Linked DNA regions of Arabidopsis thaliana. The protein of the gene in region 1 interacts with the protein of each later gene in a pairwise test. Each region holds a gene or a part of one and is shown in the gene's direction. Other genes may lie near its edges.

Evidence for each region.
Region 2: the proteins of AT5G62130 (region 1) and MLO12 interact in a protein complementation assay, tested with the Arabidopsis thaliana proteins (one large-scale study listed by BioGRID).

Annotation. Positions count from the first base shown.
Region 1 is NC_003076.8:24,947,608-24,956,200, reverse strand, and holds AT5G62130 (Per1-like family protein), read left to right. Parts: upstream 1-2,968; 5' UTR 2,969-3,282; coding exon of another isoform or gene 3,283-3,380; 5' UTR 3,381-3,465; exon of another isoform or gene 3,466-3,691; 5' UTR 3,692-3,774; coding exon 3,775-3,799; exon of another isoform or gene 3,800-4,069; coding exon 4,070-4,148; exon of another isoform or gene 4,149-4,340; coding exon 4,341-4,602; intron 4,603-4,677; coding exon 4,678-4,874; intron 4,875-4,962; coding exon 4,963-5,150; coding exon of another isoform or gene 5,151-5,164; exon of another isoform or gene 5,165-5,229; coding exon 5,230-5,516; 3' UTR 5,517-5,937; downstream 5,938-8,593. Other genes in the region: AT5G62140 (ATP-dependent Clp protease ATP-binding subunit), read left to right, coding at 825-1,268, 1,357-1,638; RR23 (response regulator 23), read left to right, coding at 7,976-8,126.
Region 2 is NC_003071.7:16,355,133-16,364,024, reverse strand, and holds MLO12 (Seven transmembrane MLO family protein), read left to right. Parts: upstream 1-4,081; 5' UTR 4,082-4,227; coding exon 4,228-4,344; intron 4,345-4,557; coding exon 4,558-4,615; intron 4,616-4,746; coding exon 4,747-4,991; intron 4,992-5,089; coding exon 5,090-5,206; intron 5,207-5,303; coding exon 5,304-5,364; intron 5,365-5,706; coding exon 5,707-5,795; intron 5,796-5,891; coding exon 5,892-5,966; intron 5,967-6,045; coding exon 6,046-6,140; intron 6,141-6,252; coding exon 6,253-6,302; intron 6,303-6,405; coding exon 6,406-6,446; intron 6,447-6,542; coding exon 6,543-6,716; intron 6,717-6,821; coding exon 6,822-6,857; intron 6,858-6,945; coding exon 6,946-7,013; intron 7,014-7,115; coding exon 7,116-7,176; intron 7,177-7,326; coding exon 7,327-7,770; 3' UTR 7,771-7,984; downstream 7,985-8,892. Other genes in the region: ATATH8 (Protein kinase superfamily protein), read right to left, coding at 8,280-8,684.

The DNA of each region.
Region 1 (8,593 bases):
CAAGTATCAATAGTTGTCTTTAATGTTTTTTTAGATGGCTGTTGTTCCTTTTTTTAGAGTTTTAGAGAAGTTTATATATTACCAACCATTCTTTACATTGCCTTTCATTACTATACAATTTGATAATTTGTTTAAGCGATGGAAATTTGAATTATACAATCAATCATACAAGTCAGTTTGACAAAATATATATCATACAAGTCAATATTTTTGTTTCTGTTACTGTTATCCACGATATTCGAACTATGTCTCGTAGTCCAAGAACCGGACTGGATAAAATACCCCCTCCTAAACAAGATTCGAATTTGGTTAATGGGTAAAAAACTTAACCTTATAATTCACTACCAAATTCTAACATATCACTCTCAAAAGTATAATTTTACCCGGATAAATTTATGAGTTTGACTTTGTGGATGAAGGTTACATGGGTAATAAATGGAGGAAATAAAAATTTATTGAGGTGGGGGTTCAAAAACTTTGTAAATGTAGTACTGTAGCTAGTTTTAGAGAAGTTTTATTTTATGACTTTTGTCCAACCAACCCACGAGTCCACGGCCCACCAGCATGTGAGATATTTAGCCCAAAAATGAGTAAAATGTAGTTGACCCATAATCTCTTCTTCTTCTTCTTTTTGACGTTAATTGACCCTATTGAGCCCATGTACACAAATACATTGATATTCCAAGAAATGTAGAATCTCAAGGTGAATGAACATTAGAAACTAGCCACATAAAAATTGTGACGATAAGATTTATGCTTTCTTCAATCAAAATGATTCAAAACAAACCAAAAACATCATAACAATTGTTAATAGTGAGAGAAACATGGCTTCAACAAAAATAAACTCTTTAACAACAACAATCTACAATTACAAATCCCCAAGAAGATACATTAACCACAAATCCCAAAACCAAATCAAACTAATTTCAAATTCCCTAAACCCAAAACCCAACACAACACAGCTTCCCAACACTCTCTACAGTGTCAGCTTCAAGACTATTGGAACAGGTAAGCTTGGCATCTCCAGATATCCCGATTTCGAATACTCTCCTCTAGGTGGCTCTGGTGCCGGAACCGCCAAGAAAATCGACGACAAAAACAGAGCATCAAACTCTGAATTGTCTGTTTGTTTCAATGTGGCCACTCTTTATATTCCTTCTCTCACTAGCCAAACCACGAAGTTTCTCGGCTTTCCATTGCCACCGTTTCTAAAAATCGATATCTCACCGGAGATTTTCCAAGGAACTATCAACCAAGAATCCGGGAAGGTGAATATTTCCTAAATCCTCTGTTTTTTGTTAGTCAAGAAATCCTCTGTTTCCATAATCCTCTGTTTTTGTTCGATTTCTTTTACAGGTGGAATTGGAGTTTATGGCGAAGTTCTTTTTCACGGCGGGAGGAGGGATATACAGAGCTCCGGCGTTGGTGGTGAGAACTGTGTTGACGACGGAGGAATCGATAGGAGAGAACAAGAGAGGGAAAGGAGAGAGACTGGACGAAGAAGGAAAGTGTAGACTCGTCGGCGTCGCGAAAGTTGAGACCATCGACGATTTGTTTATGAACACGTTCCTCTCTCTTCCGGCGGAGTGTCTCGCCGATCTACAAGCTATTATTTCAGTCTCTGATAATCAATCTTGAATCTTAATGATAAACCATAAATATTTGAGTTGAAGTTGATTAATTATTTGTTTACTTAAAAAAAAGTCTTACACTTAGGATTTGAATAAAGAATATGTAATGGGTGGCCATGGAAAATAAAAGATGAGATAATGGGTGATGATGAGCATGGAACACAACAAATTACAGCTTGAAGAAGTAAATGCGAATTGACACATATCTTAACACTTGTTTGTTTGTGCATTGTGATTACGAAATTTATATAGTTTATTTGACCGACGTTGTAATTTGATGATTTTTGTTGTTGTTGGAGAATTGATTGAATACTGTAGATGACTACTTGTGACGAAAGAGACTTTTTTAATATATAAACTCTAAAGTCTAAACTGTAAAAATTACTTATCTCCAAATTTCAGCTTATTTGTCTATTTCTCTTAATAGTAGTATAAGCCAAGGTTCCAATGTGTTTGCCGTGTTTTATGCACATAAAAGGGTTACGTTACACTTGTTCAAATAATTTAATTGGTTGGAAAAATGGAAAAAGAAGTTACATGTAAATTTGTTAAGAGAAGAAGAAGATACGAGTTTGGGAAAATGGAATAAAATCTTCCTCGTACCTCACAAGTCCTACAAAACTCTGGCAAACACTAATTACCACGTGCAACATAATATCATGTTTGATCTTCTTTTTACTAACGTTTCAAAACAAATATTTCTTCTCTTTTAGTTCTATGATTGTAACTAATAACAATGATAATAATGATTTTTTGTGTGTGTGTCGTATCACTCGATGATGCTTAAAGATTATTGATTGATCGCAACTACAAATCTACTGATTCGTTTTTTGACTTTTTATTCTTTGTTTATTTTGGCGGGGACTCGTGTGTAGTTTAAAGGAGAGATTAACTATAACATTAATAGTAACAAAAATAAAACCAGTTTAAATCAAAACTAAGGAAAATTTCCTCCCAAAAATTCGGGGACAAGTTCGTTTTCTTCTACACGCGCAGGTCTTGAACGTGAGGCTGTGGAATCATCGTGTTGTCATGTATTACAATATTTGTCATCGTTTTTATTTGTTTTCACGTTATCTAAACTATTATACATTTGTTTTCTTTTTCTCTTATTTGTCATAGATTCTTAACCAAAAAGTCAGAATACTTCCTAAGACTTTTGGTGGAAGATAAACTTCTTTTGTCATTGAGTATGTTAAATAGATTAAATAAATAAAAAATTAGCTTCAAAATTAGATAGAAATAAAAAATTAAGAAATGGATGGTCTGAAGAAGAAGTCGACGTCTGTGACCACTACAACTCCCACGCGTCACTCTCTCTTTCGTCACGCGCTTGTTTCTTCACTTCCTCCTTCTCTCACCCTCACGGGATTTCTCTCTCTCTCTCTCTCTCTCTTTTGCCGCAGCGAGATCTCTCTCTTCTTCTCTCTCTCTCTGGCTCTATGCATCCACCTGTCTCCGTAATTTGATGGACAAGAAGAAACTGCCACACCCTAACCCATTCAATTCCTCCGATCACCCACCGACTTACTCTGCTCTCTAGAAATTTCCCTACGAGAAAGCTTCTTCCTTTTGTCTTTTTGCTTCTCCTTTCTTCTTCTCTTCTATTTCTTCTCTCTACTCTCTACTTTCTTCTGTTTTTGGTAATCGGATGGCGCGAAATCTGCCATGGGTTCTGCTTATTATTGTGGTATCGTGTCTTGTTTCAACACTTGAAGCTAGTGAAGGAGATTCTGATTCTCTTTACAAGTAAAAAGTCTTCTCCTTTCTCCTTTTCTAAGATCGCTTCTTTCAATTCACGGCTCTTCTCTGCTTTATTCATATCTTTGGAGAAGTAAAAATACAAACTTTATTTCTTAATTAGCTTTCTGTTATTGCTTACTGACATTATAAATGCTGAGCTATGTTTTGATTTAACTGTCAGAGTCGACCGTTAGATTCATTGATTGCATAACTCTGGCAGTTGATTCTCAAATTCTCGGTTTAGCTTTAATGATCTTTCTGTTTTAGGATACAAGTTCAGATTTTTTTACTTGTAAGGTATGGATTGAGTTTCACAGGTTTGGTGGAAATTTAGAGCCACTAACAAAGGAGTGACTCAAGTAGGAGGAGCTTATTAGAACTATGTGGTTGACTTTTCCAAATGAATTTCTTTAGTCTTGTGTGTGGTGAGAGTTGGGACACGTTAGAGATGAGATCTTTGTGTGTTTCCACAAGCCCTTCATTTTCACTGTAGTAGGGTCATTGCTTTTGTTGGAAAGATTATAAAGGCAAAAAACTAGATAGGGACTTATGCTGCAAGTGGCTTTTGAGGAGTTAGGTGTTTCTTTTTTGTTGGGTGGAAGCTTGTCTTTCTCTCTGTCTCTCTGTTGTTTGCTTTGTAGGCCATCTAAACAGCTTAATCTATCTTGAGCCTAATTAGAAATGAAAAAGCTCAGAAATTTGTTTCAAGGCAGCTTACTACGATTTAGCTAGACCGGTTGATGTTGCATTAGAGACAGGGTTTGTTGTAATAAGGTCTTATGGGTGTGTGTTAGTGTAATGCTACATAGCGTGGCAAAGGTTTAGTTCGAGAAATTAGTTGGATGTTAGTGTCATAGAGTGGCTATGGTTAAAGTTTTGTTGTTAGAGTATCCTCGGTTGCTTTATACTTTTGGCTTTTGCTGAGTTTAAGAAGAGACTAGTGTTAATGTGCTAATTGGTTTCCAGGTCATGTGTTGATCAATGTCAGAAAACTGGATGCGTGGGGGATACTTGCTTCCAACACTGTAAATTTTCAGCTGATGGAAAAGCCATTGACGGTCCATGGTACATGCAAGAGCCACTTTACCTGAGATGGAAACAATGGGATTGCCAAAGTGATTGTCAGTACGAATGCATGATGACAAGAGAAGAAGAAAGAAAAAGAAACGGAGAGAGACCTACCAAGTATTTCGGTAAATGGCCACTCAAACATGTCTACGGAATTCAGGTAATCTTCTCTTTGCAATTCTCTCTACAAGTCTCAGCTTTAAGTATTGTTCCTCATCTATTTGTATATTTTCAGGAACCTGTCTCTGTTGCTTTCTCTGCTCTGGATCTTGCAATGCAGTTTCAAGGATGGGTCTCATATTTCATCCTCGTTTACTATAAATTGCCTCTCCAGCCAAATCGGAAAACGTACTACGAGTACAATGGAATAGTGCATATCTACGCCATCATTGTAATGAATTCACTCTTCTGGAGTAGTATTTGTCATAGCAGGTAACATTCCTATTTCTATACCAAGATTGTTCGTCAAATAATTCTCACTTATATGTTTTCCTTTTTTGCTTTGAACTATGTTATATAGAGATGTTGAATTGACGGAGAGGCTAGATTACTCTTCAGCTACTGTATTAGCCGGATTTTCGCTTATTCTAGCAATACTCCGGTCCTTCAGTATTCAAGATCAATCTGTCAAAATCATGGTTACTGCACCTATTCTTGCGGTTGTTGCAACTCATATTCTCTACCTTAATTTCTACAACCTCGATGAAGGTATGGTTCTTTAGGGATATACTTTACATTACGAAACGAAAACACGGGTTTCTTGAAATGCATATGAGCTATATTGCAGGGCTTCACTGGAAAGTTATATTCGGGATTGGAGGAATAGAGCTAGTAGTATGGGGATTATGGGCGGCTTTAACGTCACATCCATCAAAGTGGAAGCTAAGAGCTTTCTTGATCTCGAGCATACTCACATTGTGTCTTAGAATGTTCGACTTCCCTCCGTACAAAGGCTACATCGATGCTCATGCTCTTTGGCGCGGTGCAGGGATTCCTCTTTCTTACCTTTGGTGGAGTTTCGTCTGCGATGACGCAGTTTTCAGAACCACCGTTAATCTCAAGAAATCCAAGTGATCATGAACAAATGATACAAAAGTCTCGTTTATCTTATATTTTTCCGGCGAGTTTCTCCGGTGTTCAGAAGTTGTTTTTAGGCGTGTTTTCGCAGAAGAAGCAATGTTTTTGGTTCTTCTGTGGTGAATCTGCTTCGCTTTTTGGGGTCTTCCTCTCTCTCTGTTTTTATGTATTATTTTTGTTGTTGTTGGTTTTTTGTTTTTGCTCTCAAGGCTTGTCGGCCGGAGAGTTTTACCGTCGAGAGGGACCGATCTTTTAGGATCACCAGTTTCATTTTCCCGCCCTTTGACTCAAATCAAAAGTCCTTTTCTAGTTATCATTTTTCTCAATGTAAAAAAATGTTCTATTAATCTGTTTTTTTATTCCTTTACTTCGTTTAGGTTACTTTGGGCTCTTAAGCAAAGAAACCCTAGTTAGCCAACACCATTAACTAGTTGAAATGAACTTATGAACAAACACTGTTCAATGAGGGTTAAGTTTTAATACTGAAAAGAGAATTAGACATAGTGAATGACTTTACTCATTATTTGCAAATATTTTTGATATAGTGACAATTTTGGAAATAAGTTATGTATTTTCAAAAATGATTAAAAAATCACGAGATTTTTATTTAACAAGTGCGATAAAATACAACACTTTTCTACGAAGATACCAATGCGTCTTTTTTTGCAAAGATTGTCCCAAATTAGGCTATCTTAGGTACTTAGCAAAGAAACATGTAATTAGCTAAAAAGTAAAAACAACAAATTCAGTTCAATTAAAGTTTAGTTTTATTAGTTAAAAACTTAAAATAAATTTAGACATAGCTACTACATCTATCACCTAATTTACAAAAATAAAAATAGACATATAGCAAGTATATTCAGAATTATAGACACATGTAATTAACACAAAGTTATTGTTTTATATTTATTTAATAAATCTAACTAAGAAGTCAAAAAATCTGATAGACAAGCAATCCTAAATCCGAAAATTAGAAACTAAACTTTATTGTAAATATCTTTAAATCTTCTTAATTTTGTCTAGATTTTGTATATAAATTAACATAAAGTGCTCAAGTAGTGGTATTTTTTCCAGAGATGTTTAATTATATAAAAAATATATACCATTTGATTTGGTTTGGTATAATTTCGGTTTTGGCCCTCACAAATTATAATCTTGTAACATGTCTTTTTTTTTTTTTTTTAGTTTCTTTTTCTTCATTTGGTTTGATCCAAAAATTTACGAATTACTTAATAGCAAAGAAAAAATAACAAAAAATAAATAAATTATGTTAAGGTCATTTGACTTGGTTTAGCTGAACCAAATGATACTCTTGGTTTGCCCAATGTAACTTTTTTTAGATACACGATTTAATTATAAACACTAAATTTTCTCCCTCTTTAATCTTTCTACTAAAGCTAATTTTCTAACATTTATAGTCCATATATATTGGTTCCAAGGGTTACCTTAAGAGCTAGTTTTAAGTTTGCATTAGTGTGTTTGCAAAAGAAAAAGAAAGAAGAAATCTGTATGTTTTGGCTACGATTTGAACTAACGCTATAATCATTATCGTGAGTTTCTGACTATTGAACTATGTTTTGGCTACGTTCTGAATTTATCGTTTTCGCATAAGAATTGAAGATTTTCATTTTCATTCATATTTGTTTATTTGTTTTGTTGGTTTTACATACATATTTGTTTTTTTGATATGTTCATAGACATGCGATCAACGTTTCGATAACAAGCACATATCTAACTTTTCATTTACTCTCACAAATTTGTGTAATGATCTCACATGATATTAAAGATCTTATATATATGTCTGCAGGGATAAAGCTACGTTTAGTTATCGAGTTATTTGTTCAATTTTGTTTTTGGAGGATAGAGGAGTTCAATTAGTTTATGGTCCTTATATGTATAATATTACTACTAACTACTATACATATAAGTTTGAACTTTGCATATAATTAACAATCATTATCTTTCATCTAATTAATTTCCTTATAGAAAATATGTGTTCCGATTAATCGACTACTTCATAAATAACATGTCGTTATTTTGTCTTATGAAAATAGCTTCGATAGAAAAACAATATTCTTACAAAACTCGTCTAATTCAAATGTTTGTAAATACATGTAAAACGTGAATCTTTTTTTTTCTTTCTAATTATTTCTAACAAGTATCTATTTCAGATGAATTAATATTGGTCTTTTATGTAGTTTCTTTTTTAAACGAAAATTAATGATTTTTTCAAGAATATTGACATTTTTAATTATGGGCCAGAAGCTGGTGTTTGATCAATTTTCTAATTTCAAGGCCGGGTCTGCCTAACCCATACACACATTTCTCATATTATATAGTGTAATTTATTTTCTTGACCAACATATAGTTATTTTTGTTTTATTGTTTGTTCAACATATATATGAGTTATTTAATTGTTTTAATATATAGAAAAACTATTTGGGGAAGTCAAAGTAATGACAGCAAAAGATTCGTCAGAACCAGTTACTACGCTTACTCAATTCAACAATATAGATGTTGTAATCACCGATTACCATATGCCTGGTTTGAATGGTGTTCAGCTAAAAAAGAGAATTGATGAAGAATTTGGGAATTTGCCTGTTATTGGTATGTGCAATTTTTTTCCACTTATTTGACAATTACTTATTCTTCTTCCCTTTTTTTAAATTAATTTAAAATATCATAGTATAATATTGCTGTAAAAGAAAAATTCCTATATAAACAAGGATAAGTGATGAGCGGTGACAGATTAAACAGGATAACTATTGGTCATTGTTATTTTTAATTAAAAAGGGAAGTAATGAGTGTTGACACAGAAATCGAATAAAATTTATTCTTGTAATTATGATTGGATATTTAGTATGAAACCTTATTAGTTAAAAATGACCTGTCTTTTAAAAATATTAGCAAATATTGCCTAGAAGCAAAATGAGAATTCGTTTTTTCCTATTAAATGTTGACCTGTAATAAAACGGGTAATATCTTAAAAGGAATAAAAAATTTCTCATTCCATATTCTGTTTTTAGATTAAAAATTACAGCTAAGCAGTGGTATTCTAGTCTTTAGAGTATAAT
Region 2 (8,892 bases), on another chromosome or scaffold:
CCGCTAATTTATTTAGATATATTGGTTGGGAATTTTTTTAATTCTAGAAATATGACGAAGAACAGTAATGTTCAAATAAGGTAAGGAAACAAAAGAACAACAACTCTTTTTTTGGCCAAACTAAAAGAACAAACAACTCAAAGAAAATAAATAAGTGAAATAACATACCAAAATTTTATATCAATTTAATGCCTAAGAATTGGTCAAATGTTAACTTAAGTACTTAAATTTTAAAAACATCATATACACTGATATTCATCTACTAATTATAAATCAAAATTTTTTTTTGTTAAAGTGAGAGGATGATCCGAATTCACCTAATTCAGAATTTCTATCGTTTAGTCAATTGCTTAGGAAAACAAAAATATATGATGACAGTATATAATGGACTAGTGGATGTTGGGCCGCTTTTTAATAAAGCCCAATTAACAATTTAACATATAGAGAAGCAAGATGTCGATGCATATTCATTTACACAAACAAACAGAAAAAAACTACAAGAAATCTTCTTAAAAATACAAAACAACCGCTGTAGTTATAAAAGAGAAGATGTTAATTATTAATTAGTCTCCAAATTTGTGTGGATTAATTTGTAGTTTTTGAATATTACGGTCTTAGTTAGGGATAAAGATAAAACCAAATGTTCCCCAAAATATTATGAGTTTCTGAAGAAACACTCATTAGTAGGAAAAAGATTTAGGACTAGTTGTTTGACCAAAAAAAAAGAAAAAAAAAGAAAAAAAAAACTTTGGACTTTACCACTAATTCTTTGAGCGAGTGAGCTTATTTGTTTCTATCAGAAGCCCACTAACATTTATTCTAAACTAAATGTATTTAATTAGTAAAACACATTGATCCTAATCAAAGTCGCTTACAAACCAAAATCCACATAAAAATAGAAAAAAAGAAGAAGATGAATTTGTGATGATATCTATCACACTTAGAGAAAATAAAGGAAAAACACCTACTAACTAAAACATATTATAAAGATAATAACATATTATAAATCAATAGATATTCTGTGTCAAAAATATTAATTTGCAAAACCATTTTTGTATATTAAATATTTGTATTTGCTCTTATACAATACATTGCAAATTGTATCTTAAAAGTGGTTTTGTGACAAAAAAAAAAAAAAAAAAAAAGTGGTTAATAAGTTCTTATAAAACCTATTTAAATATGATATAAGGTTATTAATTCAATCACTCACTATGAATATAAATACATAAATATATAAAGAGTCAACCATAATTATTTTTATTTCCCTAAGCAATGTAAACGATATTTCATGTCATGAATGAAATCCATAAATAAAATAATTTGCTGTAAATATTTACATCAATATCATGCATAGTTTTAAGATATTCAAAAAAATCATAGAGAATTTTGGAATATTAAAACTGATATGATACATAAATGAATTTCATAAAATACAAACCGTCAAAAACAAACATATATCGTGTACATTTAGTTTTCATTTTTTATGGACACAACGTACATAATTGCAGATGATTTTTAATTAAAATTTATGAGGAGAAAATGCTAACCTTGTATATATTTTCCTGTTTCCGTATACTAATTGACTTGAAATGTAATAACTTCCGTGTTCTGTTTTTTGATTTTTTTCTTAGTTAGGCTATGAAAGCTCTTAAATTGTTACCTTTTTTTGTTCAATAAAGCTCTTAAATAGTTACCTAAAATTAGAAACAATACGTAAATTTCTATGTTTTTTCTTCAAAGTAACTTAAGTGGCGGTCAACCAAGAAAAAACATCATAAATTTTATTGTCCATCCAACTTGGAGAAATATTAAACTGTTAATCTATTTAATTAAAGATTAAATATGAATTTAATTAAAATTTAATCTGAATTGAATACAACTCATTATTAAGATTTGTTCAACTTGCAGAAAAAACAAGGGAACAACACGTTTTCAGGGATGACTTTCAAAATTTTATATTGGATAACGATGTGGCAAAGAATACAAAATTCAAAGAAGGAAACCATATGAGATCGGTTAAGATTGAAAAATTGGAGCTATGGGTCAAAACAAAGATGGACACATGGATGATTTTACACCACAACCTTACCAATAAAGAGTCAACGCTTAGGAAGTTTAGATCAGTACATATCATAGAATGGCAATGTCAATATGATTTGAGTTGACTCTAACCTTCTTTTTTTTTAAATGACAAATTATTTAATTATTTCAACTTCCTGATGAAACGGTTGAAATATTATTTTATCAATTTGAGTGAAAATGTGGAAATCCACTATTCTATCGAAGTTCCAACTCTAACTTGGTGGAAATAAGTTGTATAGGATAAAACCATAATATAATGGGCATTGTATTAATACCAAAACTGATCCCATTCCAAAAGAAAAAATGGAATTTTACGGTGGTATTGGCTATATTGATACTTTACTTGGAGAAAAAAAAAAATTGATTGAAAATATGACTAATATTATTAGTCGGACAGTCATATCAAAATGGAGTTGAAAAACAAAAATGGCTAATTTGGTAAATGCTCCATCGAGATTGGAAGTAAGAAAGAACATCTTTTCATGATTTTTAAATTGTAAATACCGTTAGTGAGTGTTTTCTTTGTTTAGTCACCTTGTGTTACAAGTCCTTTCTATAAGCCACTGATCGTTTTGTATAAATAATCAAGAAATGCAAGGCAGACCCATAATTATTTTAATAAACAATTATCATAGTCAACCCAAAGTACTTCCAATTCCAGCTATGGTTAAGTTTGACTTCACGATAAGTTTCACCTCACGCTTAAATATATATTTCCATCTATCTTTTCTTTTTGTTAAAGGATACCTTCATTATGGGTTAAAAAAGTGTAACTGTCAATCTGTAAATTTTTTATTGGATACAAAGAAAATTTATATTAACGACAACAGGTATGTTTAACACATGAGACGATAATCAATTCCAAATTTCCGGTAACGGCAACTATGTCCTAAGCCACACCTTGATTGAGTCCATTTACCACAATTTGATTTTTTTTTTTTTTTTTTGGTTTGATATTTAGTAATATCAATTCACAATAATATTTATGAAAATATCTTAACATACTTGTTATCAATGCTGATCCAACGTCTTAACCAACATACCTAACTGATAACTAGTTCCAGATGAATAGTCGTCCAACCCATAGCACACGATATTACATGTACAACACATGATTCAAAATAAATCATACTGGATTTTGCGAAATGTTTACCACGTATAGCTAGAATTTTCCAAAAGTTTTTAAAAAATTTGTACTTTGGAGATTTAAATCCTGATATGGCATAGAAACATGAATTCTTTTTAGGCCACCACCAAACCAAAATCGTTTTAAGTTTTTATGTACCGTTTTCGTCAGAAATTAACTCACTGAGTAACATGTTGGCTCTATAATTGTTTAGTTAAAACAAGAACTGATGAGAATGGAATATCAATCATTAAATGACCGCTTCAATTTTACCTCGGTTTATCGCTTGGCCACTATTTTATTTCCGAAACCCAAAAGTAGATAAACTAGTTTCTTTTGCATGGAAATTTTTTCCACCTTACTTTGGTTAGAGATTCTTTTACTTCGTTTTTCTTTAAAGAAGATTTTACATAATCTCATTCAATAAATTTATGATATATTAAAAAGTATCTTTTTCAGTTCAACATCGCAGACATTCATAATAACTGCCAAAACCCATTTCTTTGATCGTACCGTAAAATGTGAATGCGAGGCATGAATAAATTTCGGTCTTTTAAAAATAAAAATAAAATAAAAAATTTCAGTCTTCATCAGAACGACCGAACACTACATTTAGTTTTTAAAATTGAAAAAATCGTTTTAAGGTATGCATGACCCATAAGAAGTGGTAGCTAAGTTCACACGGCATTACCAGTCTCCTCATGCCACTTCATCTCAAGTCGTTATCTTTGAATTAGTCAAAGTCTTCGTTTCCCTTATTTTTTAATAAATAATTGCGGCTTTCACTTGTTTGACTTTCTTTTTATTCTCTTTACAAAGAAATAACAACAACTCATGTATAGGCATCTTGTTTTTAATTGAATTATGTATATATAGAGACATAACAGGAACAAAGTCCATATCACTTTCTTTCTCCTTTTCCCCTTATCGATAAACTTGCGAAACCCTAAAAGCTAAGAAACTTAAGAGTTTAAAGTTTAACAAAAACAACTTAAAAAGAGTTTTGAGCAGTGAAATTAATGGCAATAAAAGAGCGATCACTAGAGGAAACACCAACATGGGCTGTTGCTGTAGTTTGCTTCGTTCTCCTTTTCATTTCCATCATGATCGAATACTTCTTGCACTTTATTGGTCACGTACGTATATTTTTCATTTTTATATTTCCAAATCTTCCTTTCTCTCTTTTTGCTTTTCTCCAAATGATACGAAAGTACACATTAATTTAGTACTATTACTTTTGCATTTTAAGGTTATTAATGCATCATCTCGCTTTTTCTTAACTAGGCAATCAAAATTTATTCGGTATAACCCCATAATTAATCTCTAATTCTTCTTTTCACTTATTGTAGTGGTTTAAGAAGAAGCACAAGAAAGCTTTATCTGAAGCTCTTGAAAAGGTTAAAGCAGGCAAGTTAATTCACTATTCTATAAAAAGTTGTCATCAAAGACGACTTTTTATATTACAATATGATAAATCTTTCTCTATTTGGATTCCCAACTAACTTTCTTCTTTTGTTGTTGGATTGTGATGAAAATAGAACTGATGCTTCTGGGATTCATATCGCTTCTATTGGTTGTATTGCAAACACCAGTCTCCGAGATTTGCATTCCAAGAAATATTGCTGCGACTTGGCATCCTTGTAGCAACCATCAAGAAATCGCCAAATATGGTAAAGATTATATCGACGATGGCCGCAAAATTCTTGAAGATTTTGACTCCAACGACTTTTACAGTCCTCGCCGAAATTTAGCCACCAAGGGTTATGACAAATGCGCAGAAAAGGCATGTAATTCATAATTACTTACTAACTATACTAGTATGCCGCTTTTATGTTTAGCAAATATATATATCGGAATCTTATTTCATATTTTCGATTTCAGGGGAAAGTAGCATTAGTATCTGCCTATGGTATCCACCAGCTGCATATATTCATCTTTGTGCTCGCTGTTTTTCATGTTCTCTACTGCATTATAACCTATGCTTTAGGAAAGACCAAGGTACATGATCTTCTCTATACATTTTGTACAAGTTTATGCATATATTTGTATGTGTTTAATTTGTTTTTTAATCTATATATGGTTATGCAATATGTAGATGAAGAAATGGAAGTCATGGGAGAGAGAGACCAAAACAATTGAGTACCAATATGCCAATGGTATGTACATATACAACACACACTATCTCATCGCCATAGAGTTTATATTTGTAGAAGTAATTAATCAAAGAAAAATGACTAATAATCCGGTAGTTGACTTTGCCAAGGTTAACATCTTGATAGCGTATCAGTGGGAAGATAATTGTTTATTTCATTGATTAGTTTGTTTATTTGATTGAGTTAGATAATTGAATTGTTGATTAATTACAACGTCGTTTGTTTGACTCACGAATAAACAATTTAACACAAGAAAGTAACATCATATTTTATTTTTATTTAACTATATATTATCTGTCCTCTGATTTAATTTGTTTAGTTCAATTGGTTATTTAACTATTATAGATCCAGAGAGGTTCAGATTTGCAAGAGATACATCGTTCGGACGTAGACATCTGAATATATGGAGCAAGTCTACCTTTACCCTCTGGATTGTAAGTTTTCATTTCTTTACTTTTTGTGAGTAATTTTTTTATATATAATTTGGTTAAAAATTGACAACAAAACTTATGGATGGAAATGGAATGCAGACATGTTTCTTCAGACAGTTCTTTGGATCAGTGACAAAAGTAGATTATCTTACACTAAGACATGGCTTTATTATGGTAAGTAATAATTAGCATATACTACTAGTAATACACTATGAATTGTTGATTAATTACTCCAATTGGTGAATTGGTGCAGGCACATTTGCCAGCAGGAAGTGCCGCTCGTTTCGATTTCCAAAAATACATTGAAAGATCTTTGGAACAAGATTTCACGGTGGTTGTCGGTATAAGGTACAGTATGTCCCATTTTTTATTTTTATTTAAACCAAGTTTGTTAATATTTTGTTCAAACAATCTTGCACAAAAGTTAAATATCTGATTAAATATCTTTGTGTGAATGCAGCCCACTGATATGGTGCATTGCTGTCTTATTCATATTGACCAATACACATGGTATGTCCTAATTCTCTAACAATTCATTTAAGAGATTAAGCAAATCGTTATATATCAACGAAATATCTTTCTAAATTTCAATGTCTTTTTCAAATTAAAATAGGATGGGACTCATATCTTTGGCTGCCCTTCCTTCCCTTGATTGTAAGTAATAAAAAATTTCACTTCAAAGTCTTCAGTGTATTAATTATGTAGCTGTGAATAAACAATAATTGTATATGGTTGGTGTAAATATTGAAGGTGATATTGATAGTAGGAGCAAAACTTCAAATGATAATATCGAAATTAGGATTAAGGATTCAAGAAAAAGGAGATGTGGTTAAAGGAGCTCCTGTGGTTGAACCGGGCGATGATCTCTTTTGGTTTGGTCGTCCTCGTTTCATTCTCTTCCTCATTCACTTGGTTCTTTTCACGGTACACTTATTTACTTTTTTACATTTACCATCTTAAGTTTTTTTTTTGTCAACCCTTTTCTTATGACTTTCTAAATTTTGTTTCTTCTATGTATTTTGTTTATAGAATGCATTTCAACTGGCTTTCTTCGTTTGGAGCACTGTGAGCAATAACAATCCATTTTCTTCTTCCAATTTATATATGTTTTTGAAAAAAAATTAATGATTTTGGTTATGAATTAATTTTGCAGTACGAATTCACACTCAAAAACTGCTTCCACCACAAAACAGAAGACATTGCAATTAGGATCACCATGGGGTTTGTTAACTTCCTCAACTATACATAACATACAACAAAATAATATTATCTTTTGTATGTTTTGAACCTTAACGATAAATTTCTTCTTGTTGTATACGGCAGGGTATTAATACAAGTTCTATGCAGCTACATCACTCTACCTCTCTATGCTCTTGTTACTCAGGTACAACTTTTAACAAATTTTAAATTGCTAAGTGTCAATGCGTCATGTTTGAAACAATTAAGGGTTTGCTACAAAATTGTGATTGTCCCATATATAGTTTAGATTATTTTGGATGTATAGGATTTCTCTAACACTAAAATGTGATTGCAGATGGGAACATCAATGAGGCCGACAATATTCAACGACAGGGTAGCCAATGCATTGAAGAAATGGCACCACACAGCCAAGAAACAGACGAAACATGGACACTCAGGATCTAACACACCTCACTCGAGCCGTCCTACTACGCCAACACATGGCATGTCACCGGTGCATCTCCTCCACAACTACAATAACCGCAGCCTCGACCAACAAACCAGCTTCACTGCTTCTCCTTCTCCTCCTAGATTCTCTGATTATAGCGGCCAAGGCCATGGCCATCAGCATTTCTTCGACCCTGAATCTCAGAATCACTCTTACCAACGTGAGATCACAGATTCTGAATTCAGCAATAGTCATCATCCCCAAGTTGACATGGCAAGTCCTGTTAGAGAAGAGAAGGAGATTGTTGAGCATGTCAAGGTTGATTTGTCTGAGTTTACGTTCAAGAAGTGATAGGACTATACTTTTTACATTCTGTTTGTTCATTCTTTGTAAATGATATGAACTTAGGAATGAACACTTTTCTTATTTCTTTATCTGAATTTTGCTATAAGCTCAAACGCTTTATGATATCATTTCATATTAGTAGACAGACTTTAGATCTAGTTAACTGATATGTTTTACACAAACGCTTGTCCTATTCAATCAAATATGTTTTGTGTTTTGGACTTGCCCAAGAGGTTTCGGTAAATGTAGGACATTTTAGAGTGGAGAACTCTATTAAGTGTTCTTGAAGCAGAGCAAAAGGATTCCTTGAGGTCTCGGATATTATGATTAGTCATATATCGTTACGACAGGCATTGATCGTCTGATAGGATTAGATATGGAACGACTCTATACACGAAAATATTTAGTCTTTCTGTAGAATCTATCCCTCTTACTAAGGAACCCTTTGCTTTGGGTCTTGACAACAATATACATTAGTGATTCTGGTTCTGTGTTGGTGTAGGATGTTCAGGTAATCAGGTACGAAGTGCGACTGGAGCAGACAGAGATAAGTAGTTGACGTAACCTTCAGAGACCGAGATCACAAACCGATGGCAAGCAAGCGCAGTGGTGGTGAGAGACATGACAAAGGAAGTCCAGCAGAATCTGAGCATCAAAACTCGGTCACTCTTTGCAGACTCCAGTATCTTTCTCAGTATTACTCTGACCCGCTTGTCATTGATTAGAATCTTGAAGTCTTTGACTGTAATGTTGATTCCTGAAGATGGTGGTGGGTCTGAAAGAGAAATGAATTTAAGGGATTCAATTCCAAGGCTTCCAACCATCCATTGGTACATCGTAGTTGCAATCGTCATGCAAAGTTTCTGGCGTATGACAAGTGCCTCTCTTGAAATAAATGTCCGGATCAGTGAAGTCCCGTTCTGTTTTATCAAAACAGAGAACAATACAAAGTTTATTACTTGAGAGGTCATTTCCTCAGAAATACGACAAATCTACTTTAATCACAAGTTAAAGTCAACATGGGGATGAATGATGACCATAACCAGAAAGGTACCTTATTCCCTGTTTACTTTGTTAGAGACTAATCTTTAAGTTCAGAAAACTGGCAAAAACGATGGGAAGAATAGC